Linked DNA regions of Diceros bicornis minor. The protein of the gene in region 1 purifies or fractionates together with the protein of each later gene. This does not show direct contact. Links are inferred from orthologs where the notes say so. Each region holds a gene or a part of one and is shown in the gene's direction. Other genes may lie near its edges. The genes, in order: SOX2, CTNNB1, HDAC1 and CUL4A.

What was found.
Region 2: the proteins of SOX2 (region 1) and CTNNB1 purify together in Homo sapiens (affinity purification with mass spectrometry; 3 studies listed by BioGRID and IntAct, with this or other methods). This does not show direct contact. The link is inferred for Diceros bicornis minor from reciprocal best matches to the Homo sapiens genes SOX2 and CTNNB1.
Region 3: the proteins of SOX2 (region 1) and HDAC1 purify together in Homo sapiens (affinity purification with mass spectrometry, with the first as the bait; 3 studies listed by BioGRID). This does not show direct contact. The link is inferred for Diceros bicornis minor from reciprocal best matches to the Homo sapiens genes SOX2 and HDAC1.
Region 4: the proteins of SOX2 (region 1) and CUL4A purify together in Homo sapiens (affinity purification with western blotting; 3 studies listed by BioGRID, with this or other methods). This does not show direct contact. The link is inferred for Diceros bicornis minor from reciprocal best matches to the Homo sapiens genes SOX2 and CUL4A.

The regions. Positions count from the first base shown.
Region 1 is NC_080754.1:41,644,309-41,650,442, reverse strand, and holds SOX2 (transcription factor SOX-2), read left to right. Parts: upstream 1-4,021; 5' UTR 4,022-4,292; coding exon 4,293-5,255; 3' UTR 5,256-5,521; downstream 5,522-6,134. UniProt on the Homo sapiens protein: Transcription factor that forms a trimeric complex with OCT4 on DNA and controls the expression of a number of genes involved in embryonic development such as YES1, FGF4, UTF1 and ZFP206. Binds to the proximal enhancer region of NANOG.
Region 2 is NC_080741.1:43,546,335-43,553,660, forward strand, and holds the start of CTNNB1 (catenin beta-1), read left to right. Parts: upstream 1-4,267; 5' UTR 4,268-4,432; intron 4,433-7,326. UniProt on the Homo sapiens protein: Key downstream component of the canonical Wnt signaling pathway.
Region 3 is NC_080752.1:47,050,582-47,058,611, forward strand, and holds the start of HDAC1 (histone deacetylase 1), read left to right. Parts: upstream 1-4,936; 5' UTR 4,937-4,993; coding exon 4,994-5,042; intron 5,043-8,030. Other genes in the region: tyrosine-protein kinase Lck, read left to right, coding at 1,290-1,492. UniProt on the Homo sapiens protein: Histone deacetylase that catalyzes the deacetylation of lysine residues on the N-terminal part of the core histones (H2A, H2B, H3 and H4).
Region 4 is NC_080748.1:86,945,033-86,952,506, forward strand, and holds the start of CUL4A (cullin-4A), read left to right. Parts: upstream 1-4,273; 5' UTR 4,274-4,499; coding exon 4,500-4,647; intron 4,648-5,024; coding exon 5,025-5,140; intron 5,141-7,474. Other genes in the region: PCID2 (PCI domain-containing protein 2), read right to left, coding at 4,044-4,079. UniProt on the Homo sapiens protein: Core component of multiple cullin-RING-based E3 ubiquitin-protein ligase complexes which mediate the ubiquitination of target proteins. As a scaffold protein may contribute to catalysis through positioning of the substrate and the ubiquitin-conjugating enzyme.

The DNA.
Region 1 (6,134 bases):
AGACTCTGCAGGTTCCCTGCCGTTTGCCTTCATTTCCATAAGAAGATTAAGAGAGGAGGGGAACACACTCAAATGCAGATGCAGAAAAGAAGCGTTTTTTAACAAGCATCATAATAGTAAGATGCTTGGCTAGTTCTCACCTAATTACTGCAAGTTAAACCTCTATTTGCCACTAAGAAGAAAAAATAAGTCTACAGTCCCCTATCTCCACAAAATTGTTAGTTGGCTTCAGATATAGTACTTGAGGAGGGATGAGGGGAGTTGAGGAGAGAAATATCAATGCAAGAGATTTGTAAATAAAATTGAGTTCCACTTAATCAGTTAAGGATTTGGGGCTGGGGCCTATAGTAGAACAAAATCAAATCAGAATATCCCAGGGGTTATGCATTTTTGTTCATAATTTCTAATCTTGCTCTAAAAGTGTGCAGCTTTTTGCTGTGTATGGAAGGGAAATGTTACCCTCTCTTTAGATTAAGCACTTTCAATTTTCATAAATGGTGCCAATGGCAACATTTTAAATTCTCAGAGGATGAAGCACCCTCTTCCGAGTCTTATTTTGATTCCCTGGGAGTCAATGGCATATTGTTATTAGTCCTGTAGCCGTCTGTTATAAACCTAAAACAGTGCTGCTTCTGTCATCTATTATGATTGTTGTAGTTATTATTATATTTAGGGGCCAGTGATGGTGCTGGATTGAAATAGAGTGGCCGGTGATCTGATTTTTTTAATGCATATGTTCTAAAAAGTCTAATGAGAAAATTGTTTCTGCTATCACCATCTTCTTTAATCTTATTTTCATAGCACATTATTATGCATAAACGCCAGCCACAGTTAGTTTATTGCCTTGATAAGTACAGCAGGCTTAATTAAAATAAAGCTGTAAATAAATGCAACCAATGATAACACAATTGCAATGTATTTCCATAGCTTATTTATATGATAAAAGCAATTAACAAAAAGACCTAGCCAGCCCCTTTAACCTCTTAAATGCATTATTATAGAGTTCAGGCACAAACACATGCATCTGAGAATGTATAAAAGCTTTTATACATCATCCCAAGGAAAAATTTGTGCCTCTTACTACTTACTACCCCTTGAGAGACAGAGAGATTAAAAATATTTGCTTCTATAACCATCCGTTATTAATACTTATTTCAATTCATATACACCACCATTATCCACACCAACTCCCTGATTTTTTTCTTCAAACTTAATTATCCATAAGCTTTTTTTTTAGTTTTCAGAATAATGCAGTTAGGCGCAGACCAATGTATACGCAATCATAAAGTGAATGCTTGGTCTGCCCTTCGTGGCGTCTGGACAATCATAATTCATTCATATGTTGAATCTCATAATTTGTGCCTATTTTTTTCCCATGGTTTAACCTCCCACTTATCTAGAGGTTATATGTACATTTCTAAGTTAAGCAAATTAAATCTAATTCTTACGATTGATTCCATAGCTTATATGATATGTTAACTTTTCTTTTGTTTAGATTACGTGTAATTAGTTTGATCTTCCTCCCATCCCCCTCATTTTTTTTTCTGTAATTATTTCCAAACACCTTCTTTTAAAGGTAAAAGCAATAGTCTTGGAAAAGCGAATCCACCAGTAGGGGGCGCACCAGCCACATCTCTGAAACCATACGCGCTGAAAAGCCGGTGGCCGCCTTCTCTTCTCCAGATCCTCTCAACCTTTTCTCTTTCCTAATCTCCAGGTCCGTGTTTAGCTTAATATTACACCTCGCATAAACAGAAGACATTGCTTTCTTTTGAAGAGTGCCATATATTGATGCTTTTCGAGAAAGCCAGTCTCATACTTCCCGCGTTCCTAAGAACTAAAACAAACCATAACTTAATAGAAAAAAGAGAACCTGCAGGGGGAGGGAAGGTTGATTGGTAATAATTTATTACGACAAGTCTGTAGAATTCCTTTTACAACTTTTCTGGGTTTCCAGGGAGCACAGTTATCTTGAGTTGGACAAGAACAGAAAAGCCTGAGAGGGCAGGGATTGGAGAAGTTGGACTGGGGGCCGGGGTAGGGGAGAGGGCAGTTATGGGAAGAAGGTTAGTAAGGAACAAAACAATGCACAGTTTTGTAAAGATAATAAATGGAACGTGGCCGACAGATACTATTCAGTACATTTTCTTAGGGTGAGTAAGGGTAGATCAGGGGAGGAGGGGGCGGAGAGAGTGTTACAGAAGAAAGAAAATAAGTAACCCTGATGGTTTAAGCCCTTTATAAAAAAGAAATGGCATCAAGGGTTTTTTCTCCACAACCCCCCCCCTCCCCTTTGTAGTCAAGTGCATTTTAGCCACAAAGATCCCAACAAGAGAGTGGAAGGAAACTTAGACGGGTCTTTGTTTGACTCCGTGTAGCGACAACAAGAGAAACAAAACTACCTATTTGTAACGGACGTGCTGCCATTGCTCTCCGCATTGAGCGCCTACCTATTGAAATCTTTACGTTGGGACAATGGGAGAGCGGCTAAAATTACCCTCTTGGGTCCTGGGCGGGCAGGATTCCTGAGCCCTTACCCCCGCCCCCATCCCATCCTCCTCCAGCCCTAGCCTTGCTGGGCTCCCCCGTCCCCAGTCCCGGCCGCCCTCCTCTTGCCTGCACTGCCTGCACCTGTGCCTGGCGAGCACCACCCCTGCCCCCAAGGCCTAGGGCCCCCTCGGAGCGCAGCCCCAACCCGAGCGGCCCCGGCCAGGCGGCCACCACGGGAGAAGTCACTGGAGGAAATGCCAGGGCTGGTTCTGCTGGAGTCCTGGGAACTCTGCGTGGGAGGGAGTTTGTGAGTGCGGCCCAAGCCACCTCCACACAGTGCGGTGGGATGCCAGGAAGTTGAGATTCCCCTCCCCCATAGCCCGCACTTCTGAGCGCCCTTCTGTGGATCTTTCTTCGCCCAGCCCCCTTTTGCAACCCGCACAAGTGAAATCCCTCCTTGAGGGAGGCTCAGGAGGAGAATGGGGAGAGGACGAGAACACGAGCATCCCCTTTGCACCGACTGAATGGAGAAAGACTGGTGGGCGATGTGGCTGGGGGTAAGGGGACAGGCTGCGGGTCCCCGCGCCAGAGAGCCGGGCCGGGCGGCAGCTCACCCAGGCCCGGCCTGGCCTCGGCTCTCGAGTCGGCCGCAGAGGCCGAGCAGGATTTATTTTAACAGCAGAGCAAACTACGTGGAAGCAGGGAGCGTTCTGAGGACAGAGCTTTCCGTGTCCTAACTTCTCGTCGGGGCAGAGTGAGAAGGGGCCGAGCGAGGGCCGGGCCCCGCGGAGGAAGAGGGGCGAGGGCCAGAGCGGGGTGAGGGAGAAGCAGCCGAGGGCCGGCGTGGGGGCAGCGTGCGGAGGAGCGGGAGAACAATGACACACCAACTCCAGCGCGGCCCGTTTCCTGAAATACTAGTAGGACAGTCGCCCAGAACCACCCACTCGGCCCTGCCCTGCCCCCACCCCGTAGCTGCTTCTCGCGCCCCTTCCTCATTTCAGCAGCCCGCACCAGAAAGTAAATCCACATTAAGTTTAAGGAAGAAAAAAATCGTAGTCTTAGTGCTGTTTACCCACTTCCTTCGAAAAGGCGTGTGGTGTGACCTGTTGCTGCGAGAGGGGATACAAAGGTTTCTCAGTGGCTGGCAGGCTGGCTGTGGGAGCCGCCTCCCCCTCCCCTCCCCTCCCCTCCTCCCCGCCTCCCCCTCCCCGCGTCCCCCGCCTCCCCCGCGCGCCCGGCGGCGCGGCAGGCCCCGCCCCCTTTCATGCAAAACCCGGCGGCGAGGCCGGGCTCGAGTGGAGGAGCCGCCGCGCGCTGATTGGTCGCCGGAAACCCATTTATTCCCTGACAGCCCCCGTCACATGGATGGTTGTCTATTAACTTGTTCAAAAAAGTATCAGGAGTTGTCAAGGCAGAGAAGAGAGTGTTTGCAAAAGGGGGAAAGTAGTTTGCTGCCTCTTTAAGACTAGGACTGAGAGAAAGAAGAGGAGAGAGAAAGAAAGGGAGAGAAGTTTGAGCCCCAGGCTTAAGCCTTTCCAAAAAATAATAATAACAATCATCGGCGGCGGCGGGATCGGCCAGAAGAGGAGGAAGCGCTTTTTTTGATCCTGATTCCAGTTTGCCTCTCTCTCTCTTTTCTTCCCCCAAACTATTCTTCGTCTGATTTTCCTCGCGGAGCCCTGCGCTCCCGACACCCCCGCCCGCCTCCCCTCCTCCGCTCCCCCCGCCCGCGGGCCCCCCAAAGTCCCGGCCGGGCCGAGGGTCGGCGGCCGCCGGCGGGCCGGGCCGCGCACAGCGCCCGCATGTACAACATGATGGAGACGGAGCTCAAGCCGCCGGGCCCGCAGCAAACTTCGGGGGGCGGCGGCGGCGGCGGCGGCAACTCCACCGCGGCGGCGGCGGGCGGCAACCAGAAGAACAGCCCGGACCGCGTCAAGCGGCCCATGAACGCCTTCATGGTGTGGTCCCGCGGGCAGCGGCGCAAGATGGCCCAAGAGAACCCCAAGATGCACAACTCGGAGATCAGCAAGCGCCTGGGCGCCGAGTGGAAACTTTTGTCGGAGACGGAGAAGCGGCCGTTCATCGACGAGGCCAAGCGGCTGCGAGCGCTGCACATGAAGGAGCACCCGGATTATAAATACCGGCCCCGGCGGAAAACCAAGACGCTCATGAAGAAGGATAAGTACACGCTGCCTGGCGGGCTGCTGGCCCCCGGCGGCAACAGCATGGCGAGCGGGGTCGGGGTGGGCGCCGGCCTCGGCGCGGGCGTGAACCAGCGCATGGACAGCTACGCGCACATGAACGGCTGGAGCAACGGCAGCTACAGCATGATGCAGGACCAGCTGGGCTACCCGCAGCACCCGGGCCTCAACGCGCACGGCGCCGCGCAGATGCAGCCCATGCACCGCTACGACGTGAGCGCCCTGCAGTACAACTCCATGACCAGCTCGCAGACCTACATGAACGGCTCGCCCACTTACAGCATGTCCTACTCGCAGCAGGGCACCCCGGGCATGGCGCTCGGCTCCATGGGCTCGGTGGTCAAGTCCGAGGCCAGCTCCAGCCCCCCCGTGGTTACCTCTTCCTCCCACTCCAGGGCGCCCTGCCAGGCCGGGGACCTCCGGGACATGATCAGCATGTACCTCCCCGGCGCCGAGGTGCCGGAGCCCGCCGCCCCCAGCAGACTTCACATGTCCCAGCACTACCAGAGCGGCCCGGTGCCCGGCACGGCCATTAACGGCACACTGCCCCTCTCGCACATGTGAGGGCCGGACAGTGAACTGGAGGTGGGGGAGAAATTTTCAAAGAAAAACGAGGGAAATAGGAGGAGAGTAAGAAACAGCATGGAGAAAAACCCGGTACGCTAAAAAAAAAAAAAAAAAAAGTCATCACCCACAGCAAATGACAGCTGCAACAGAGAACACCAATCCCATCCACGCTCACGCAAAAACCGCGATGCCGACAAGAAAACTTTTATGAGAGATCCTGGACTTCTTTTTGGGGGACTATTTTTGTACAGAGAAAACCGGGGGGGTGGGGTGGGGAGGGCGAGGGAATGGACCTTGTATAGATCTGGAGGAAAGAAAGCTACGCAAAACTTTTTAAAAGTTCTAGTGATACGGTAGGAGCTTTGCAGAAAGTTTGCAAAAGTCTTTACCAATAATATTTAGAGCTAGTCTCCAAGCGACGAAAAAAATGTTTTAATATTTGCAAGCAACTTTTGTACAGTATTTATCGAGATAAACATGGCAATCAAAATGTCCATTGTTTATAAGCTGAGAATTTGCCAATATTTTTCAAGGAGAGGCTTCTTGCTGAATTTTGATTCTGCAGCTGAAATTTAGGACAGTTGCAAACGTGGAAAGAAGAAAATTATTCAGATTTGGACATTTTAATTGATTAAAAATTGTACAAAAGGAAAAAATTAGAATAAGCACTGGCAAAACCATCTCCGTGGTCTTCTTTAAAGGGGCAAAAGTTTTAGATTGTACTAAATTTTTTTTAACTTACTGTTAAAAGCAAAAATGGCCTGCAGGTTGACACAATTGGTAATTTATAATAGCTTTTGTTTCCCAACTTTCCATTTTGTTCAGATAAAAAAACAACATGAAATTACTGTGTTTGAAATATTTTCTTATGGTTTG
Region 2 (7,326 bases), on another chromosome or scaffold:
CTAAAACAAAAAACCGGTGATACCACATCTACAGATCTCAATGGATTCAAAAACAATATGAAAATTTTTAGCTGACAAGAACATGTCTGCTGCCTGCAGTCCCTGCAATAGCTCACCATGTTGCCTACTAACCAAAAGATCAAAAATTATCGATTTCATGGCGCTGCGTGCTCTGGAAAGAAAAGCTACTTTAAAATTTGCATTGTTTAAGAAATGAGTTAAAAGAAAAGAATCATTTTTTTTCTGAACACTTTGGGATGTGAAAATGGCTTGTTTTAATCTTACCCATGATTTACTATAATTCTATTATTTTTAGCAGCTGGAGTCCAGAAATGATTTTTTTCGATGAATTTAGGATTTTGCCGCAGTATACATCTGCAGTCCCAGAATCCTCCGGTAAGTTAATCCTTCTTGCGTTGGGAAACGCCTTTAACCTTCTTGTGAATGAAGTATCTGCAACCATTTTGAAATTTTTAATAGAGAGGTGTTTGTGCATGTGTGTGTATGTACGTTGGGGGGTATGTCTCCAAAGCATGATTTCTTAGCAATGCAGCGGTAATTGTCTTAGTTCTTAGAAACATATACCTTTGTGTTCTATGAATATCATGGATGATGTCTCCATTGCTTCTCCTTCACACTATCTATGGTAGCCATTAAAATGTACTTTCTTAGTATGGCAATGACTGCTGTGTCAAACCAATGAAGGCCTGGAGAACACATAACTCCAAGTATGAAGAGTGTTGCTGGCATAACCACAGCGGCCATGAACAAAACTATCACTGCTGCTGCCACTGCCACCACCATGGCCATCGCCTCCCACCACCTTCACTGCCCCTCCCTCACTCTGCAGTGCACACTAGATGCAAGCTTTCCACGGTGCCTCTCTGCCGAATTTGCCCAGTGGGTTCCTAGATTACTTCTGTGTGCAAGAATAGCCAACCATGTAGTCTGACAAGAGGTATTTACAACTACTTAGCCTGTTCAGCTGGAAACAAATCAAAAGATAACACTGAACCCTGAGATGATGTATTGCAAATCAAAAGTCCCAATCCATAAATAACCCACTTGATATGCTGCTAAATGAAAAGCTGATCCTGATTATTGTCCAGTGTTTTCAGGTTGTCAAAAAGAAATATTTTTAATAGGCCTTCTTAGAGAGTTGGGATCTATTGTTTATAAATGCATGGAATATTATTTAGTCTTACCTTTCTGCTGGGAGAGGATTCTTCCCAAGGAGATTCAGATACTGAGTCCAGAGGAGACCACACCCTCATCTCACTGTTTTCTACTGTTTCTGTTTACGTTCGAGTAGGGTTGATTAACAATTACAATTATACATTAATTTAAGGGACCTAATCAAAAGGAGCCAGTCTTCCATTTCCCTCTCTCTAAAGGAGCTCATTGTCTTAGTGCTCAATAAATGTTTAATTAATGGATTTGATAAAGTTAACTATCCAAAAAGTGAACGGACCTTCTTTACAGTACTGGCTTGATTAATGTTTCTGTAGGAAGTGCAATAACAATCCGGGCATTTATTTCTTTGCCTAGAGGTGATTTAAAAGCATGTGTTTTTGTGAAGGACGCTTTACGTTCAGGTTCCATGTAGCCCCTGCTTGATATGACAATGGTCTGCTATCATGACAAGCAATACCTCCTCCGCTAACCCAGCTGGAGACACTTTGGTTTCTAGGAACACAGCTTGAAATTTAGAACCATTTGTCTTTTGCAGTTTCACAAAGTGGATTAATTTAGGTCACACCCAAGTGGCTGACTCTAGAAGGAAAAGGTGTAAAAAGATAACCCAGTGTTTTTTATGAAATGTATTGCCCAAGGTCAATTTTTTAAAATCATTTCTACAAAATCACTTATTTCACCCACTCATCAGGTATTTTGATGCTTATATTTCTCCTTGGTTTAATGACAATATCTGTCTTCACTTCACACAAGTTATTCATCTCATATTTTTGATGAGACAATTGGAACAATTTCTGTTTTTTGAGAAGCAAATAAAAATTCTGAGCAATTTGTTAAATTCAACTAATTTGTTTTAATGTCACCCAGTAATTCTTCAGTACACTTAAATTTGACAGGAAAAACAGCTTGCTGCGTTGTTGCAAATTTTACATTTCCTTTAATAACATGTGTTTGCTTAAAGTATTATTATAGATTTAAAAATCTTAATTCTAAATTTAGATTAAGATATCTAAATTACAGAAAAACGTTTCAATTATTTTGGCATCTGAATAGAGAAATACAAATATAGAAGAGTTTTTTTATCTTTTAGAGGTTCTAATGGTGCAAATATTTCTTAACTTGATTTAAGTGTGCCTTATTTAGCAAAAAAAAAAAAAAAACCAAACATAGAAAAAGGAAATATCCATACAAAAAGAACCTCTAACATTAATTAATCTGATTTTACATTATGACTTAAATCTACTGTATATTCTTTAACTCTGCATATGAGTTTTAAAATTGGGGATCAGTACCTGGAAATGCCATTTTATACTTTTGAGTTTATATTAGAAACAGTGCTTTGATGAAATACCTTTTTCTGTCAATCTGTTTGAATTATGTCCAGCCAAGTTAACCACAACCGTTGGCCACACTTACTTCTACAGAATTACTAGCAAAAATAAAAATGAGAAAGTCATCTTAGACAATGGATTTCACTGAACATCATCGTGTGTGCACTTTTTCCACTGCAGGGGCCCACATGTGCAATAGTGACAGATAGCAGTTGACATTATCACTGTATATAGTAAAATATCTTTCAGGCAGGAAAAAAAATAGAATTATTTAAAGAACAAGTTGGCCCTTAAGTATTAACTATACCGAAAACTACATATCCTACCGCATGAGTAAAGGAGTAAGTAGGTTTCCTGCTTGTATCTATGTATAAAGACCTATTGTTTGCATGCATTAATTAGAGGGATAAAAGCCTCAAGATAACTTTCACTGTTGCTTTTTGTACTCTATTGTTTTGGAGGGAAAATAAGCATAAAACAATAGGCTAGAGAAAGTGAATCGATCATAATTGTTTCAGCTTTGACAAATGCCAATCTTGCTGGATTACAATGGAGACATTTCCAAGGGAAATGAAGACTCAACTTTAGCCTATTAAAAAGAATTAGAAAATGTTTTTGAAAAACAGAAAATAAGTTTTAAAAAAATTAGAAGCTGCCTAATCGATAGTTCCTTCCATAAACAACATACTTGGATTTCTCAAATAAGTAATACCGTAGAAATGCACCTTCTCCAAAGAAAAATCCCCACAAAAAGAAAAAACAAACCTATTGATATTTAGTAATACAGTGGAACCAAACACAAATGGACTCTATAAGAATTAACCTAACGGACAGGGCTCTAGAGCTAATCCATTTCCATCAGTCATTTGTTCACAGTAGGTACTCATAGGACTTGTTGAATTGCGGGCTAGGCGCCCACTCCAACGCGAGTTCACAGCCTTCGGGAGTGCGGACAGCAGGCGGCTCGGCCCGGTAGTTCACCCAGGTTCAGGCTGAGCAGCCGGTTAGGATGCGGGATGCACGATCCGGACAGTGGGGGGCTTTAGGGTGGTGAGCGGCTGGGCTGCGAGCCACGTCCTGCAGGGAGTGTGTGGCCAGACCGCAGCGCTGGCAGAAGCCCTAACCCGCCCGAGTCCCCCGACCGACAGCGGGGCAGCGGCGGCGGCGCCCAGCAGCGCCTGGAGCGGGGCAGGCCCCGACCTCAGCGCCCGCGCCGCCGCCGCCTCGGCCCCGAACTTCTGCCCTCTCAGGGCCTGTGCCGACCGCCCGCGCGGCCCCCGAAGGCCGAGGCCGAGATGCAGCCTCCCGCGGGCGGCGGGAAGCGCGTGGCAAGCCCCGCGTCGGCTCTCACGGTTCGGGGCACACGCGGGGCGGGAGCGTCGGGCTCCGGACAGTGGAGGATCCTGGTGCCGCCCTCCCCCCACGCCACTCCGGCCCGCGGGGGCCGCGGCCCGCCCGCCTCGGACTACGGTGCCCTCCCAGGCCGCCCTCCAGTCCCGACCGGTGGGAGAGCCGCGGGGCTCTACCTAGGAGAGCGTCCGGGCAGCGCGCGGGCGCCCCGCCCCGCCCCGGGGCGTTCGGACGGCGGCAGCCGGCTCGGCGGCGCGGGGACTACTTTCCCCCGTCCACCCGCGCCCCGCCCCTTGTCCTCGCGCGGCGGAACGCTCCGCGCTGCGCCGGTGGCGGCAGGATACAGCGGCTCCTGCGCGACTTATAAGAGCTCCTTGTGCGGCGCCATTTTAAGCCTCTCGGTCTGTGGCAGCCGCGTTAGCCGGTTCCCGAGAGCGGAGAGCGAGGGGAGGCGGAGACGGAGGAAGGTCCGAGGAGCAGCTCCGGTCCCCGCCGAGCCGCCACTGCAGGCCGAGGACGGTCGGACTCCCGCGGCGGGAGGAGCCTGTTCCCCTGAGGTGCTTGGGCGCTCCTTTCCTTACCCTTCCGGGGCTGCTCCCGCTCTCTCTTCGGAGCTAAACTTCGTCGCGGGCGCGCGGTCCCGGCGGCAGCTGGAGCCCGGCTCGGCGCAGCCGTGGGGCCCGGGTTGGGAAGCAGGGGTTGCTGGCTGGGGGCGCCAGGGAGGCGGCGGGGGCGGGCCGCGCCCGGGGGGCGGAGGGCGGCGGCAGGGCCCGGGTTCCGGTAGCGCTGCGCCTCGGGGGCCCCGGGGGCGCCGCTTGCGGGGAAGGGGCGCCGCGAGGGCGCGTCCAGGAGCTCGGATGGCCGGTGCGGGGGGCCTGTGGTTTTCGTCCGGGGCTCCGGTCGCGGCCGAGTTTGGGGGAGGGACCCTGCGCCTCGGGATGCGCCGGGGCCGAGGTGGGGGGCGGGGTGGGGACGGGGGGCTCCGCCTTTCCAGCCTCAGCGGGGAGTTGGGGTCCGGTCGCTGGGCCTGGGACGCACCCTGGGTCCCATCTGCCTTGCGGATAGGGCCAGTGGACTTTCTCTCCAGATTCCCTCTTTCGTTCTTAAGGACGAATTAAGGGAATTCTTAAGAGAATTGTGTTTTTTTTTTTAACGCCCTGCCTATGTGAGTTTGGCACTGGCGCTTGTTTAAATGGAAGCAACTTTAAACCTTCAAACTATTAGTGCAGACAGTGCGATGCGTCAGTAGGGTTTGCACACAGAAAAATCCCTGTCTTGCACCTATTTTTTCTTGTACCGTGCAGTTGAGGGACAGCGGCGATGTGCAGTGTACTGGAGTCTTCTGGATTTACCGCGATGGGTGTGAGACCCTACTAAAAATAAGGGTTGGGGGGCCAGGCCAACTTGCTTGTTTCTTATCGAGCGAACCTCGGGAATTCAGCCTCTGACTGCTTTGCGAATTTTGTTCGTAGAAATTACTTATTCAGATAGTTTTTATGGCAGCTAAACTTGGTTATCCGAGCACGTTTTCTTTTCAGCGGAGTGAATTTTTCCCTCGCCACGAAATTGGTGAAATGAAATTCAAGCATTGCAGCTTCCTCCAGTGTTTTGTCTGGGGAGACGACTTTGAACAGAGACTTTCGAAGTTCTCACAGGCCGCTTTTGAATCCGCTAAACTTGAAAGCTTTGGCAGTTGGGTGTAGTTGTTTCCTTCGTTTTCTCTTCCCTTTTGGAGGGAGCATTGTTTTATACTTTGTATCTTCCAGACATCTGTGGTCTCCCCTCCCCCGGAGCTTGTGAGTGGTGAATGAAGAGAGACCGGCCTGCTGGTATGCAGAGGTCGGCAAAAGGAAATCGAGGAGTGGTTTTAGTGAAATGAGAGCTTTGTGTCATGAATAGCGGTGGCTTAGACTAGACATCAACTTGAAGAGACGGCTGTCCTTTGATAAGTCTAGGCTAATGTTTTTCGGATCGCTAAGTTATAAAATATTTTGGCATTTAGGAAGCCGTTTCATTATTGTCACTTGGTGAACATTCACTACCTTCAGATATCTTTGTGTTAACTTGTTTTCGTCCTAAGAAATATTAGACATAGCTTGAAATGTTACTTACATAATGCCGTTGTTTAGTATCTGCTTAAATTAGTGACAAACTTCTACTTTGGAGGCTTTTTTTTTTTGATCTGAACTAAGGCTTCTGCTCCATTCATTTTACTTTTTTTAAACTCAAAGTCTCTGGACTAAAAATACCATTAAGGTTTATTTGAGAGTATCGTTATACAAAATTTGATTAATTTGCACCCAATATTCATTACTTTGACCTAGTCTTTGTTCTGAAGGCCATGTACAAGGACGAGGCCCTAAAGTGATTGCAACAGTAACTTGAAAAACTTGCAGAAGACCATTCTATAGGATTAAAGGAATGCTGAGACTATTCAAGTCTGAAGTCCTTGAGGGGGGAATAAAAACCGGCACCGGAAAGTTTAGTATAGCACAAAACTTAGAGTCCTTGTGGAGTCCTAGGCCTGAGATTTTCCTGGAGGCCAGAGCAGTCATTTTAAATAGCTTTCAGGAAAAACCAAGTTTTTAAAAATAAGGTGGTTAATAAAAAAGTGAAGCATTTAACAGTGTTCAAATGTCAAGAAGCATTCGAGAGTTTTGTTGCTTATGAACTAATTGCTGACTACTTCCTTTACCAAGATTATGTAGAAAAATGTGTATTCCAGTATTAAAACTTATCAAACCATGAATTGAGCTTTCTACTGTGATGACTGAAATAAAACTTGTCCATATAAATAAAGTTCTGTATGCTTGTTTTCATAGACAGTTCCCTTTGCCCCCTCCCCAAATAGGAAGGAAAACATGAAGTAGGCAGATTTGTCTAAGGGTATTGAGATGTGATGCTTAGGAAAACTATCTGCAGATATCCTTTTTTATTGTTGGGAGGGGTGAGAAGAGGAGCATAAGTATTGTTGAAACTAGGGATGTGGAGAATTCAAGTTTGAATATCACTCTTTTATAGTTATTATAAGTTAGCAGTGAAATAAAACCCCAGAAATGGTCTACATAAGTATAGTTAGCCAAATGAAACTTTTATGTTATTGAAATGAAACAATTCATCTGTCCAGTTATAACATGATTTTGTTTCTCTTTCGTGGTTTACTAGTTGCTGATAATCCATAATTGTAGATGAGTAGGTGGTAAATTTTAAGTTTGTACTTTGAGCTTGGTTGGAAGCACGCTTGATTGCTAACCCAGGGCAGCAAGTTTGAATGCTTTTAGAGCAGGACAAACTTCTAATAAAAACTATCAGCAACTCTTTTGTAGTGCTACATGTTGACTTGTGACATTGTTTTTGAAAACATTACTGTATTCACCTAGTTGTTTTCTTGTAGCCCTCTTTTTATTGGGAATACAATATCTTTGTTGAAACAGCTTGACTGAAAACATTT
Region 3 (8,030 bases), on another chromosome or scaffold:
CAAATTGTTTAAAAACACAACAGGGGCCAAACCAAAGCAGGTCTGTGGTTTATATTTAGGCTGGGTGTAGCCTATGGGTTTGCACCGTGGACTCTAACCACAGGTGTTTAGTTCCCCAGCCTGTGTCCTCCAGTGTCCTGATTTTGAAATGTGAGGGGCCCATAGCTAGAAACCTCCTGGGGGCGGCCTGGGGAAGTGGGGTCTCTATGGACCAGGGTCAGGTCCAAAGCTTTGTAGAAGCAAAACTTCCATTTTGTTAGGACCCTATAAGAGTTTAGTCTTTGGAGACTGCCTGCCACAGTCTCTTCTCAGGAGACCGAAGGAGAAACCAGAGGCCACATGGGTCATTTAGAAACAGGAAGTGATGTTTCTGCCATGACCACGCAGTTCTCCAGAGCAGCTCCTCTTGGGGTCCACGTGCTAGGAGCCTCCCAGGGGACCCATCACAAAAGGTGGGAACTGGCCCAAAGATTATTTCCTCTGGGTTGTGGAGGGGCCTGGTGAACCTTCTCTGCCCCATGTCGGGTGTTCTTTGCTGGGGCCCAGGGTCCATCTGGCTTCCTGATGTAGCATCTCATATGGTTCTTCCCAAAGCTGGAGAAGCCTCACCATTGTCCTGGCTGTGAGCTTCCATCCTGCCCTGGGCCCTGACCACCCCATCTTTCCCCACCAAATAATAATAATCACAGATACTCTTTATGTAGCATCTCTTCTCCAGGCAGTATACTCGGTGTTTTATACACACTCTCTCATTCAATCCTCATAACAACTCTATGAGGTAGGAGCTACTATTGATTCCATTTTCCAGATGAGGAAACTGAGGCTCAAAGAGGTAAGGTGGCTCACCCAAGATTTCACAGCCAACATATGTGTGTCGTTGAGTGTTCAAGCCATAGCAGACACTCCAAGTGGAACTGCTGACATTTAGCAGGGACTGCTGGTATGGCCTTACCATTGACGAAGACCAAGATCCTTTTGGATTGGTGCTCACACCATGCAGTTGTTAAATATTCTGAACATCTTCCCTGTCTGTGGGCTTCCAAAGTCTGGAGCCTTGGGCTGGCTCCATGGCTTAGCAGTTAAGTGCGTGCGCTACGCTGCTGACGACCCGGGTTCGGATCCCAGGTGCGCACCGACACACCGCTTCTCCGGCCATGCTGAGGCCGCGTCCCACATACAGCAACTAGAAGGCTGTGCAACTATGACATGCAACTGTCTACTGGGGCTTTGGGGGGAAAAAAAATTATAAAGTCTGGAGCCTTGATGTTGTTTCTCCCATTAACCTCTAGGGATGACCAATCCTGAGGTGATTCAGAACCTGGAGCGAGGTTACCGCATGGTGCGACCTGACAACTGTCCAGATGAGCTGTACCAACTCATGATGCTGTGCTGGAAGGAGCGCCCAGAGGACCGGCCCACCTTTGACTACCTGCGCAGCGTGCTGGAGGACTTCTTCACAGCCACAGAGGGCCAGTACCAGCCCCAGCCCTGAGAGGCCTAGCTGGCTGGGGCCTGGAGCCCTCCCCCATCTAGCCAACCCAGCTCTGGGAGATAACGGTTCTTGTGTCATACCCATGTGGCCTATGAACGTACGGACTCTGCACCACGTGAATCCCGCCCATGCATGACACACACACTTCTCGTGTCTTATACACGGGTTCTGTAGTTGTGTGGGCTCTGCACATGTGTCTTGTACATGTGTGGCCTGTGCATATATGTCTTGGACACTTGTCCCTTTCTGGACCCTCCCACTTCCGGAGACCACCAGAGAGAGGAGCGAGGCCTGTGATTGACACCAGCTTCTGCTCGCCCCCTTTTCCTTTCCCCTGGTCATCAAGAAGCTCCTTGAGGGCCAGGACTTTATCTAATACCTCTATGTGCTCCTCCTTGGTGCCTGGCACACATCAGGAGCTCAATAAATGTCTGTTTGTTGATGAAGATTGTACATCTCTCTGCTCCCCACTCCCATCTCCTCTTCCTTGGGAGGGGGGAGGAGCATTCAGAAGATGGAAACTGAGTCACCCTGAATTGGGGTGAGAGATAGAATAAGGGATGTGTAAACTTTTTCCAGCCCTGCTGATGTTGGGGGCCAAGAGGAGGTCACTTGCTACTACACTTTGCTGTATGGACTTCAAACCACTACCCCAAAGGATTAAGGGTGACCATTACCCAGAACCTCCTAGGGAGTGGGTGTGTCCCAGGACTCTCCCCCCTCCCATTATATAAGGGCACTAGCATTTTTTACAGCTACGGACTCAAGGGCTATATTTGGCCTCAGATATGTTTTGATTCACTTTCAAGATGTTTTTAAACATTGAGTTAATTCACTCATTTAACAAATATTTATTGAGCATCTACTGTGTGCCAGGCATGGTTCTGGGTTCATAGGATATATAGTAGATAAAATAAACAAAATCCCTGCCCCTTTGGGGCTTACATTCTAGTAATGGAAGACAGACAGTAAACATCACAGAGAAGTAAAGGATATGTATGCTATAGGTGATGAGTGCTCAAGGGAAAACAGCAGGGTAAGGGGAATTAGGACTGTCATGTTTAGGGGAGGTTTGCAATTTTAAAGAGGGTGGTCTGGGAAGATCTCATTGAGAAGGTGATTTTCGAGCAAAGATTTGAAGGAGGTGAGGGAGTGAGGGATTGAGCCATGTGGTATGGGGGAGGGTCTGTCAGGCAGAGGGAACAGCATGAAGCAGAAGCTTGCCTGGCAACCGCAGAGAGGTAACGACAGCCTGAGGGAGGGGTATAGATCCTATGGGGCCTGGGGCCTTGTGGCCTTTGCAGGAGCCATTTTGAGGAGCCTTTGCAGGGCTTTATGCAGAGCCTGACATGATCTGACTTATATTTTAAAAGGATGGTTCTTACTGCCGTCTTGAAAATAGACTGAGTTAGCAGTCAATTTATACTACTGGTGAGATTTTGCATAAAACTCCAGATTTCTGCCTTCTCTTGAAAAAAACAGGAGGATTTGGCTCCGTCAGGCTTACCTGTCCTCATGGAGCTGAGTAGTGGCCACACTCTTCAGGTGGGGCATGAGCTCTCTCTTTGCCAAAGTCTCCTCCACTCCCTATTGCTCCCAGACAATTAAACTAAGTGTTAGTAGCTATTTATTATCACGCTCGTGCTGTTTTTCTTACAATAAAGAGGAAAATGAAATGATTTTTTGCACCCACATTTCCATTAAAAAGAGAAAATTAAAGATACCTGAAGATGGCAGTGTGTTTGAAGAAAGGTGGGGGAAATGCATATTTATTTATGAAAGCGAAAAAGAATCCAATTTTGAAAATATGCAAAGTGACAGAATCAAACTAATATAAATAATATAGTATGAATCCACTCATTTACATCACCTGCTTGATCTCCTTAGGCATCTGAGTTTGAGATTCCTGTTCTACATTTTATAAAATGCTGCCACACCCATGACTTCAACTGATCCCCACTCTCCTCCTCATTTGGACAGTGTAGCCATAGAGTCTGTGAACTTTTTATTCTCATTCTCCATTTTACAAAGAGGGAAATGGAGGTCCAGAAAGGTTCCTAGCAACACAGAAGCAGCAACACAGAACTGGGAATAGGGTGTGTTCCCTGGCCCTGGCCCTTTGCTGTTTCTATAGTAGAACTGACCGGTCTTAGATCTTCTGTTACCTTTATCATTAATGACCCCAATGCAGTTCCCAAGCGAGGAACACAAGTGTCCAAGCACTCTTTAAACTGTAAAGAGGAATAAAAATGTATCTTATTGACTATAGGACCATGAGTGAGTAACTTATTTGGCATATAGTAAGCACTCACTAAATATTAATATTGTTGTAATTGTTATTTTAATAGCCCATCATGGTGCTTTTCAGTCTTTCAGCTTTCAATAATGACCAGTTGATGACTGATCATCAGTGCAGTGGTTCTCAAGGGGAGAGTGGGGGTGGGGGTGCAATTCTACACTGCCTCCAATCCCCTCCCCCCTTGCCCCGGAGACAGTTTTGCAATGTCTGGAGACAATTTTGGTTGTCACAACTTGGGGGATGTGCTACTGGCATCTAACGAGTAGAGGCCGAGGATGCTGCTAAGCTTCCTACAGTGCACAGGATAGCCCCCTCCGATAAAGAACTATCCAGCCCAAAATGTCAGTAGCTTCAAGGTTGAGAAACCCTGCTCCAGAAGAGGACAATCAATTTCCTCCTTTTTAAAGGCACTCCTTCTGGGTGACTGCATCAGGAAGGTAGGCTTTGGAGTAAGAAAGTCTGGGTTCTGCTACTTTGTTACAGCCTCTGGTGCATAGTAGGCCTTCAAAAAGTCTGTACAGTTGAAAACTGAATTTAATTACTAATTGTGCAATTCTGAGCAAGTCACAAAGGCCTGAACTTCATTATGCTTATCTGTAAAATGGGGATAAAAAGCCCTACTCCAAAGCTGTTGTGAGGCCTGAGATAACCGAAATAACGCTGGTAAAACTATTGTACAGTACTTGGCCTCCAGCAGTTTTCTTTCGTTTGTCAGATTACCCCTCCCTCCTCCAAACTCAGGTTCTAATCCAGGTTCAGCCCTTTTGTGAGTTAAGTGACCTTGTGCAAGTCACTTTTCCCCCATAGGCCTCAGGTGATTCTTTGTAAAATTACAAAATTGACCTCTGATCACCAACCCCAAAGAGGGACTGCGAACTTTACAGACCGCTTTCCTCCCCCGGGACTAATGGTACGGTCCCCGGGCAGCTTCCCCCACCCCCCTGTCGTCGACCTTGGTACAGGCCCAGGGGGCCCTAGGCGGCCTCTCAGGGCTGCCCTTGCCCCCTGCCGAGTTCCGGGCCGTCCCTGCGCGAGCTGATTGGCTGGAGCGGTGCCCGGGCTGCGCGGCTATAGGTGATCCCGGGAGGGGATGGGCGGAGCGCGCTGGAGGCCCGCCCCCTCCCCCCCTGGGTCGGACGCTGCGGAGCCGCGGGCGGGAGGACGGACGGACCGACCGACGGGAGGGACGGGAGGCGAGCAAGATGGCGCAGACTCAGGGCACCAGGAGGAAAGTCTGTTACTACTACGACGGTGAGCCCCGGCCTCGCGGCGGGGGCGGGGCCTGGCCCGGCCGGATCCCGGAGAGGGAGGCTGAGGCGATCTGAGGGGGGAGGCTGGGCGAGGCAGGGGCGTTGAGGGAAGGCTGAGAGAGGAGGCAGAGGGGAAAGGAGATCGAGGCTGCGGGACGAGGCTGATTGGAAGGAGGTCGGGGCTGAGCGACGAGGCTGATTGGAAGGAGATCGAGGCTGAGGGAGGAGGCTGAGAGGAAAGGAGATCGAGACTGAGGGAGGAGGCTGATTGGAAGGAGGTCGGGGCTGAAAGGAGGCTGAGAGGAAGGAGGTTGGGACTGAGGGAGGAGGCTGAGGAGAGGAGATAGAGGCTTAAAGAGGAGGCTGAGAGGAAGGAGGCCGGGGCTGAGGGAGGAGGCTGAGAGGAAGGAGGCCGAGACTGAGGGAAGAGGCTGAGGCAGAGAGGGGGTCATCCAGGGAAGCCTGAGGTCATCTTGGCGGGGGGGAATCCTGAAGAAGGCTGATGTGGAGACTGAGGGGGACTCCTGGAGGGGAGGCTGGGTCTGAGGGAGGAGGCAGAATCTGATGGAGAAGGTTGCAAGGGTGTATGTTTCCTGCTGAGAAGACAAAGGTCTCCCCCGCGCCTTCCCTGCCTCCTCTGTTTTGGTGAGAGTCCTGCGGGAATCACCAACTCGTGGTCACCGGCTTCCCCTCCCCCCGCCTGCGAGCAGGGCCTGCAGTTGCTGCTGGGAAATGGGGCCCCTGGGGTTGGAGGGAGAAGGATGCAACCTATTAAAACAGACTTTTTCATGTAACAGAAATCTGTCGACCAACTTGCTCTGTTGTAGGGAGTGTTGAGGTGCTGGGGCCATGGGAGGATCAGGTCACTTCCCATCTTCGTCTCAGTCGGGAGGGGAAGACAGACAATGACGGAGAGCTGCTCTCCACTATCATGGCGGGATCAAGGAAAGCACAGAGGGGAGGCGCTCGGCCCGGCATGAGGAGTCAGGGAAGGAGGTGCCATCTCTTAGGACCTGAAAAACAGGAGTTGTTAGCCTGGCACAGGGAAGTCCAAGATAACAGCAAGTTTAGGGGTAAGAGAGGACAGCACCTTTGGAAAACAGCAGTTGTGTGTAGAGTATGGCTGAGGCCTAGATCTGAGGGCAGAGCGCAGAGGGTAGGGAGCAGGGGCCAGGGAAAGGTTGCCAGTGATGAGGCTGGAGAAGTAAATGGGGACTGGATCCTGAAGGGCTGGGCATACTGCCCTAAGGAAGTTGGACTTTATTCTGAGGGTGCTTATGAATCATTGAAGTTTTATGCAGGTTAGTGACATAATCAGATTTATACCTTAGGACAGAAATTAAATTCATGAACGCAGGGGTAGGGAAGAAGGTGAGAATCCCAAGTTTCTGGTTTGGACAGTTTGATACAGAGTGTTTGAAGGCCATGTCAGTTGATAACTGTTTTTTTTTTTTAAGAAAAATTCGTTGATATGTCTGGGGGCTATCCGAGTTTTTGGGTGTCCAGTAGGCAGTTGGCCATTCAGGTCTGCAGTTTAGAAGAGAGCAATTTTTGGTAGTCGTCAGCATACAGATGGTAATTTTAGTTACAGAAGAGGATGTGGTCACCCAAGAAGTTGTATGGGGTGCAAAGGGAAGAGGATCCAGCGTGGAATCCTAAGGAAGTGGACTGAGGAAAAGTCTAGTGCCCTTCATGCTCTGTCATAGCGCTTGTCACTGTGTATTGGAATTGCCCATTTACTTCTTCATACTTCTTACAGACAGTAAACTCCTTAGGGAAAGGGACTATGTCTTCTCTACCTTTGTATGCTCAGCCCCCAGAACAGTGCCTATCTCATAGTAGGCTCTCAATAAATACTTGTTGATTAAATGAACAAAGATACAGAGGGAATGGCCAGAGATGTAAGTGAATCCGAAAGTGTTGGGTTACAGTAGCCAAAACAGGGAGGGAGTGGCCTAGTGTTGGCAAGCACTGTTTCCTGTGCAGGGTTTGGAACTGAAGCTAGATTGCAGTAGACTGAGGAACAAATGGATGGGGGAAGAGGAGACATCAGGTTGAACCCTTTTTGAAGGAAGCTTCTCCAGGGCAGAGAGAGAGGGTTGTTGATAAAGGGGAGGTATAGTGGCTGAGAGTTGAATTTCCAAATTCTTATGGAAAATAGCCAGAGAGAAGGAGAGGTTGAAGATATAAGAGAGGGGCTAGTAATGATGGAGTTTTCTGAGACCAGGTGAGATGGAAACCAGAGCACAGTTAGGGACACCAGCCTTCAAGAGGAAGTTCCTTCGTGACAAGAGGGTAAGTGGCAAGGAAGAGTTCAAGTGTAGGTAGGTTTGAGGGGGAGAAGGTGGGGAGGAAGTTGAGGGAGTTTTCAAGATGAAGTAAGAGAATAGTCTTTTTCTTGCAAGTCGGGGAGGGCAGTTGGTAGAGTAGGAATCTTGAAGAGAGAGAGCTGTTCAATAGCTGTTGTGAAAGAGGGAGCTAGGAAAAGAAATTTGGAAGGAGTGCTGGGCGGTGGTGAGGGCCCATTTGAGGCTGGAGCCTATGACTTTGTAGCCATATTAGTTTGCACAGTTGTGATCTCCACACACTCAGTTTAAAAAGAGGAAAAGTGGAAAGATCCTGGTCTTTAGAGAAGGAGACTTCTTTTTGAGAAACTTCTTGTGAGTTTTGCAGTGCGGTCACTAGCTTGGGACTCAGATTTGGCTCTGCCACTCAGAAGCTTTGCAGTATTGGGCAAGTCACTTTACCCTTCCAGGCCTCAGCTCACTCTCCTATAAAACTGAAAAATTATGAAAATGGGGAAAAGCTCTTTAAAAGTTTAAAAGTAGTATCTAAGTAAAAAGGATTATTTCTTTTAAGTCTTTCAGCAACCTGGTTAAAAACTCTTAAGAAAATGATGGTGTCTCTGGTCCCTACCCTCAGGTACTCCCTTAGCCTTTTAGATAAGGTATCTTAGTTCCCCAAGTCTAAGCCTTGGCTGGATCCACTC
Region 4 (7,474 bases), on another chromosome or scaffold:
ACGGCCAGAAGAAATGGAGGCCTAAGCCACAAGGACACCTCCTCTGCTTACCACTCAGGGCATCGACTGGGGAAGTTTACCACACCTTTTCCAAGATAATTTGTATCATAAAGAATTTGCCACTTGACTATTCAACAAAACTGCACATGCACTTAAGTTCTGAGCCAGCAATCCCACTCCTAGGGATCTACCTTACAAGAAACAAAAGGTCATTTCATGTATTACGAGTAATCACAAAATATTGGTCCCATTGGTGCCCCTGCCTCAAGGAAGCTAAGAAAACCTGCAAAGTTCTCGTCACGGGGTGTGAGGGAAAACAGAGGGATGGTGACACACTCGCATCAAATCTCCAAGACGGATGTGCACCTCAGTGGACACTAGCATCATGGGCAACCCAGTCACGGCTTTAGTCACTGTTGATACGTCACACCCCAGAACTTCTGGTCTTTTATTATTTTTTTTATTTTTTGGTGAGGAAGATTGTCTCTGAGCTAACACCTATGCCAATCTTCCTCTATTTTGTATGTGGGACACCACCACAGCGTGGCTTGATAAGCAGTGTGTAGGTCCACGCCAGGGATCCAAACCGGCGAACCAAGGGCTGCCAATGCGGAGCATGTGAACTTAACCACTACGCCACTGGGCTGGCCCTGGTGTTTTAATTTAAGCACCTTGCACTGGACCATGCGGCCGCACTCCAGGCGAGACTGTCCACAGCACCCCTGTGGGCCTGGCCTCGGGACTGCAGAGGTCATCAGGTGAAACTCTCTGGCTCTGGGTACTCTCAGGAAGTTCTCTTTCTTGGCTGCTGCTGGTCAACTCCTGTCCTCCAGGCTCCAAGCTGATCCACTGGGGAATCATCTGCTCTTAGAACTCCTAATTCCTTAAAAATACATTTACTAGCTCCGTCCACTGAAAAGGCCTAGAAGTAATGATACCTTGATAGCAATAAGCACACCCAGCACTCATATCTGTTTTCTAAATTCACCCTCCACTAAAAGGGACCAGAGCTTCTTGGGGAAAAGTCTGATCTAGTGCTGGGACAGGGAAAGAACTAAGTGAGCCTGGAATGAATATATTATTGCACCAGAAAGCAAGGCAGAGACCAAAGGATGGAGACAGGTCAAAAAGCCACAGAAACCAGTTTGAAGGGGCTCCCAGTGGCCAAATCTGGGACAATTTGAGCTTCAAAAAGAATAATAATGGGGCCGGCCCCGTGGCTTAGCGGTTAAGTGCACGCGCTCCGCTGCTGGCAGCCCAGGTTCAGATCCCGGGCGGGCACCGACGCACCGCTTCTCCGGCCATGCTGAGGCCGTGTCCCACATACAGCAACCAGAAGGATGTGCAACCATGACATACAACTATCTACTGGGGCTTTGGGGGAAGAAAAAAAAAGGAGGATTGGCAATAGACGTCAGCTCAGAGCCGGTCTTTCTCAGCAAAAAGAGGAGGATTAGCATGGATGTTAGCTCAGGGTTGATCTTCCTCACACACACACACACACAAAAGTAATTTTCCATGTAAAATAAGAGTGTGTGGAATGGACAAAAGAATGAAATAAAGGACACTAAAAAAAAGATACTAGAAATGATGAAGAGAGCCACCTCTGGGGAAAATATAAGGTAAATGAATTCAACCTGTCCCTTCCAAACAGAAACTAAATTGAATGCCTGCTGACACTGTGAGCACTAAATAGATGAGGGGACATGCTAGCTACAGCTGGGTGTTGGGAGAGACAACAGGGCCTCCTCCGGCCTCTGCCCCTGCCAAGGATTGACCGCTGGCTCTTTCACTTGAGCCGTTACTCAGGGCTGTTTATGCAGCTGGTCACCTTGAGAAATGAAGTAATGTCTCCCCCCATCCCCAACCCTGGACAGAAAGCAGACTTGCTTTCAGCCTGCTATAGAATGGGTGGGTTCCCCAAGTTCCATGTTTCTCTCTCAGATGCACGTGTAGGGGCCCTTCTGGGCCATCGCAATACCATCATGCTGCTGCCGTGCTGCCTGCTATGCTGAGTACTAAAGTCCTTGGTCTCTGACCCAGGAATCGCGTGCGTTCTGCCAGTACCCAAGAACCTACCAGGAGAACTCCTAAGCTATGAGGAGAGTAGAATGAAACTCCAGACCCAACAGATAATAGGATGTTATCACAGAGCACATGGGGAATGAAAGACACAGCATTTCAGGCAGCTGCTGGCTGTGGGCATGGTGAAGCTGTGAAATAAGGAATGGAGATGTATCAAAGCTGACAAGGTCAATGAGATTCAAAAAAATATTTAATTCGGAAACAGAAATAGGCAGGTTCTAGCTAGGACAGGAAATGTTGGCCAAAACTTAGGCTAAGAGAGGCAGTGAGCTTTGTGTTAAGGGCATGGACTCTGAGGCCGGAACTCCCGGTCTCAATGTGCAACACACTTGCCAATGACTTTGGAAAGCCACTGCTTTCCTATGCAAAATGGGGCTTGCAATGGACCCACCTCCGAGAAAAACAGCGATGATGACTACGTACAACAGCGCCTGGTCCTTATTAAGCGTTCAACATGCGCTAATCATTACTGTGCTTCTCATCATACCCCAACTGCTTCACCACATAAGACAGACAAGAAAGGAGATTCTCTGAGTGCTCCTCTGGGAATGCAGGGAATAGGACCAAGACGCAGTTTGGTGAAACAGAAGAATATGAAACCTAGAGTCAGACAGACCAGCCTGGGTCTGAACCTTACTACTCACTAGACTGAGGGAGGAGGTCTGAGAACAGGCGAATCACTCCACTTTACCATCCAGCCCTATAAGCGAGCCTCAACGCCTCCTATCTGCCTCCATTTATCCAGTCAACAAATTGTATTGAGCATCCACATGGGTCAGACACCATTCAAGGCACACAGAATGTCCAAAAAAAAAAAAGGAATTAGGTGTGGGCAAGAAAATTGTAAACGATTAAGAGAAAACAAAATTCTAGAGAGATTCTATATTCAAATTGGTTTTCAGATGTCTATGTTCTTGTTCAACTTTAAACTGATATGGGAAATGTTAACTCTGCAAAGATAAGGCCAAGGTAGACCTATCCTTAAAGACAAGGCTTCAATCAAAAGACTGGCAAGTGAATGTATATCTGTATGTTTTAAATTAAAATAAAAGCATGTATCTGTTTTTTTTCATGATTCCCGTTTTAAACAACTTTCTCAATTAACTAGCAACTAATGGTCTCAATCATGTTAGACTAACATTCACCTGCCAACTAGATATCTTTACCTGGTTGTCAATAGACACCTCCAACTCCACATGTCCAAAAGTAAACTGACTTTTCCCTCCGAATCTGTTCTGCTCACCTGTCGTCCAAGCTAGACACCTGGAAATCATTCTTCACTCCTCCCGAGGTCCCTCAACCACAAGTTCTTAATCACCAAGTCCTGGTAATGTTTCCTTCAGATATTTTTAAAATCCACTCCTTTATCCTTATGACCACGGTCCTAGTTCTGCGAATTACCATAGTCTAGCGGGAAGAATGCAAGCTTTGAATCCATAAATACCTATGTTTGAACTATGCTTCTGCCGTTTACAGGCTGCATGGACAAAACCCCTGCGAGAGACATTTCCCCAGGATACCATAGTATACCAGGTGCTAACACAGCGGGTGTACTAAACGGCAGCTGTGGCCAGCGGCTCGCGGCGGGACCACCTGCCATCTCCATCTCCTATGTCCACCAGCGTTCATCCGAAACAAAACTCGAAGTCCGGCCCTTGGGTCAGGCCTTCAACGGCCACGCAACGGCCGCGCCCCTGCTCCTGAGCGTGACCAACAGGCCCTTGGGGATCCGCTCGGACCCCTCTCCACGTCCCCAGGCTGAGGGCCGCGACCGTGGGTGTACCCGGGGGCCCCAGGACACCCAGTGAGCTTGCCGCTTCGTCGTCCCGGCCTCCCGTCCGGCGGCCAGGGCAGGCGCGGAACAGGCTGCCCAGGCCCGCAGTGCCCACCCCGGCCCGGGGCCCCGCAGGCCAAGGGGAGGAAGAGTCGCCCCGCGCGACCTGCCGGGCGAGCATTACCTGCTGCAGGTACTGGTTGATGGTGATGTGCGCCATGGCAGCGCCCGCCGCCCGACCCAGACGGCGCCTGCGCGCCCGGCCATGCGTCACTTCCGGCCGGCGGTCCGTCCCGGGCCCCGCGCCGCCGGCCCCGCCAGCCCCGCCTTCCGCGCACGTCGGTTCCGGAGGGAGAGCGTCCGCGGGAGCGCGAGCGCCGGGCCGGCATGGCGGCGCGCCCGGGTTGAGGCAGGCCGGCGTCCGGCCGCGACTCCGCGCCTCCCCTCAGCGAGGACGCCTCGTCCGCGCCCCTGGGCGCCCGGGCCCCCGGAGCTGACAGGGCTTGCCCCGCGCCCCTCGACTGTGCGGGTTCCGCGCTGCCCGTGGCCGACGCGGACGGGCCGCGCTCGCGGGCCTCGGGCCTCCTCGGGCCGGGCCGGGGCGGCGGTTGGCGCCGGCGGCCGAGGGAGCGCGGCGGCCATGGCGGACGAGCCCCCGCGGAAGGGCAGCTTCTCGGCGCTGGTCGGCCACACCAACGGCCTCACCAAGCCCGCGTCGCTGGCCGCGGCCGCCGTCTCCGCCAAGCCCGGCGGCGGCTCCAGGAAGCTGGTCATCAAGAACTTCCGAGGTGGGTGCGGGGCGGGGCGGGCGGGGGCGTCCCCTCCCGTGGTGCCCTCCCGCGGTCCCCTCCTCGCAGTCCCCTCCCGCGGTGCCCTCCCCGCGGGCCTCTCCGGTGATCCCCCCTCCCTGCTGTCCCCTCCCGGGGCGTCGGCCCTGCGGCGGGACGGCGGTGACCCGGGACCCGGGGTCGTGCGTGGCCGGGCGCGTGGAGCGGCGTGCGGGCGCCTGGTCTGCACCCGGGAACTGTGTAAACGCGGTGCCTTGTGTTGGGAAGCCCGATTCTGCTCCCGGCCCTGGTGTCCCGTGAGGGCTTTTCTGCGGAGTGTCTGGAAGATGCTGGCTGCTGGCGCGGACCCGACCCCGCTGATCTCTCTGCGTTTACAGACAGACCGAAGTTGCCGGACAACTACACTCAGGACACCTGGCAGAAGCTGCACGAGGCGGTGAAGGCCATCCAGAGTAGCACGTCTATCAGGTACAACCTGGAGGAGCTCTATCAGGTGAGCCCGCAGCGGCGGGGCCGGCCGCTCGCAACCCGCTGACCTGTCAGTGCGGGGTTGTCCTGGCGAGGAGGACCTCAGGACGGAGGAGCCGGCGTCCTTTCTCTCCCGTACCGGGTGGTTTTGTGGCTGGCTGAGTAACACGGTTATCTAGCTGCAGGGAGGTGTGATACACACCCCGGCTCTGGTTCTCGGGATTGTTTCAGCGTCAGTAGCGAAGGAACCAATGGAAATCCAAGCATGTGCCTCCAGCAGGACAGGAGGGCCTGTGACAGCAGGTCCCCAGAGTCAGCCAGTGTTTTCGTTTTGTGGGGGTTGTGGGATTTCTATTTTATTTTCGGGCTACATGACTCTTAACATTTTCCAAGTATGCAGCAAATTATTATTATAATTCCATTATGTTATATATGAAACTTGTTACGGTTTCACTTGTTAATGTAGATTTTTCCCCCCTCTTCGTTGTGTTTTGTGATTAATTGTTGCAATTAAAACATACAGACTTTGTTACATTTAACCTAAAGTAATGAAGTTCCATTTCTAACATGAGAAAAAAATGCTCAAAAGTATATTTTACTATTTGGATATTACATTTACCAGCAGTCTGGTGTTTCTCATATTTTATTTTTAAAGAATAACGTTTGCTAATATTATCTGTATTTTAGGTAATAATGTAATATCACAAATTGAGACTTGAGCTTAAATTTTTTTTTCTATTTACATAAGTGATTACATTTTAAAAATTATGGAAACTACAAACAAGTACAAAGAAGAAAATTAAAATCACCTATACTCCCACTACCCAAAGAAGACTTCTATTGACAGTTTAATGGATATACCTCCCTTCTTTGTTTTAAATTTATGTGAGTTTATTATGTTTTTTGATCAACTTTATTAAGGTATAACTTACATATAACATATACTTCAATAAGTTTTAACAAATGTATACAATTGTATAACTACCACCATAATCAAGGTAGAGAATATTTTCATCGCCCCAAAAAGTTCCCCGAGGCCTCTTGGAATTCACTCTTCTGCCCTGACTCCCAATCCTTGGCAGTCCCTGATTTGCTTTCTGTCAGTATATTTCACCATTTCTAGAATCTCATCTGAGTGGAACAGTACACTTTGCAATCTTTTGTATCTGGCTTCTTTCACTTAAGATAGTGCTTGTGAGATTCATGCGCCGTGTGACAGTAATTTGTTCTTTGTTGCTGGTGTGGGCAGTATGGGTCACCAAATTGGTTATCTTTTTACCAGTTAATGTGCATTTGGGTTTCCGGTTTGAGGTTATTATGGATGAAGCTGCTGTGAACATTAACAAGTAAGTTTTTGTGTGGACATATATTCTCATTCCTCATGGATAAATATCTAGAAGTGGGTTTTCAGAGTCACAAGGAAAGTGTATATTTAACTTCATAAGATGTTTCCTAACTGTTTTTCAAATGGCTACACCATTTTGCATCTCTACCAGCAGTGTATGAGAGTTCTAGTTGTTCCACGTCCTTGCCAACGTTTGCTATTGTCAGTCTTTTTAATTTTAGCTGTTCTAGTAGGTGTCTAGTGGAATTCTGTTGTGGTTTTAATTTGCATTTCTCTAATAATATTCAGCATCTTTTCATGTGCCCATTGCCATTCTATATACCTTCTTTAATGAAGTGTGTGTTCAAATGTTTTGCTCATTTTTTTATGGGGTTAGTTTTTTTTTTTTTTTTTTCCCGCGAGAAAGATCAGCCCTGAGCTAACATCTGCCAATCCTCCTCTTTTTCCTGAGGAAGACTGGCCCTGGGCTAACATCCGTGCCCATAGTCCTCCACTTTATGTGGGACACTGCCACAGCATGGCCTGACAGGTGGTGCATCAGTGCGCACCCGAGCTCTGAACCTGCGAACCCCGGGCCGCCAGCAGTGGAGCGCACACACTTTATGGGGTTAGTTTCTTATTAAGGAGTGTTTGAGTTTATTATGTGTTCTGGGTACAAGTCCTATACCAGATATTGGTCTTGCATTTTTCTCCCAGTCCACAGCTTATCTTTTGATTCTCTTAACTCTGTCTTTCAGAGAGCAGAAGTTTTAAATTCTGATGAAGTCTGTGTATCAGTTTGGTCTTTTATGGATTCTGCTTTTAGTGTCTATTTGAGAAATCTTTGCCTAATCCAGGTGGTAAAGGTTTTCCCTTGTATTTCCTTAGAGACATTTTAGGGTTTTAGGTTTTACACTGAGGTCTGTAATCTGTCTGGAGTGAACTTCTGTATATGTTGTGAGGTGAAACCCAGGTTCTGTCTTTCCCTGTAGACGTCCCGTTGCCCCAGTTGTTGCCGTTGGTTGAAGAGACGAC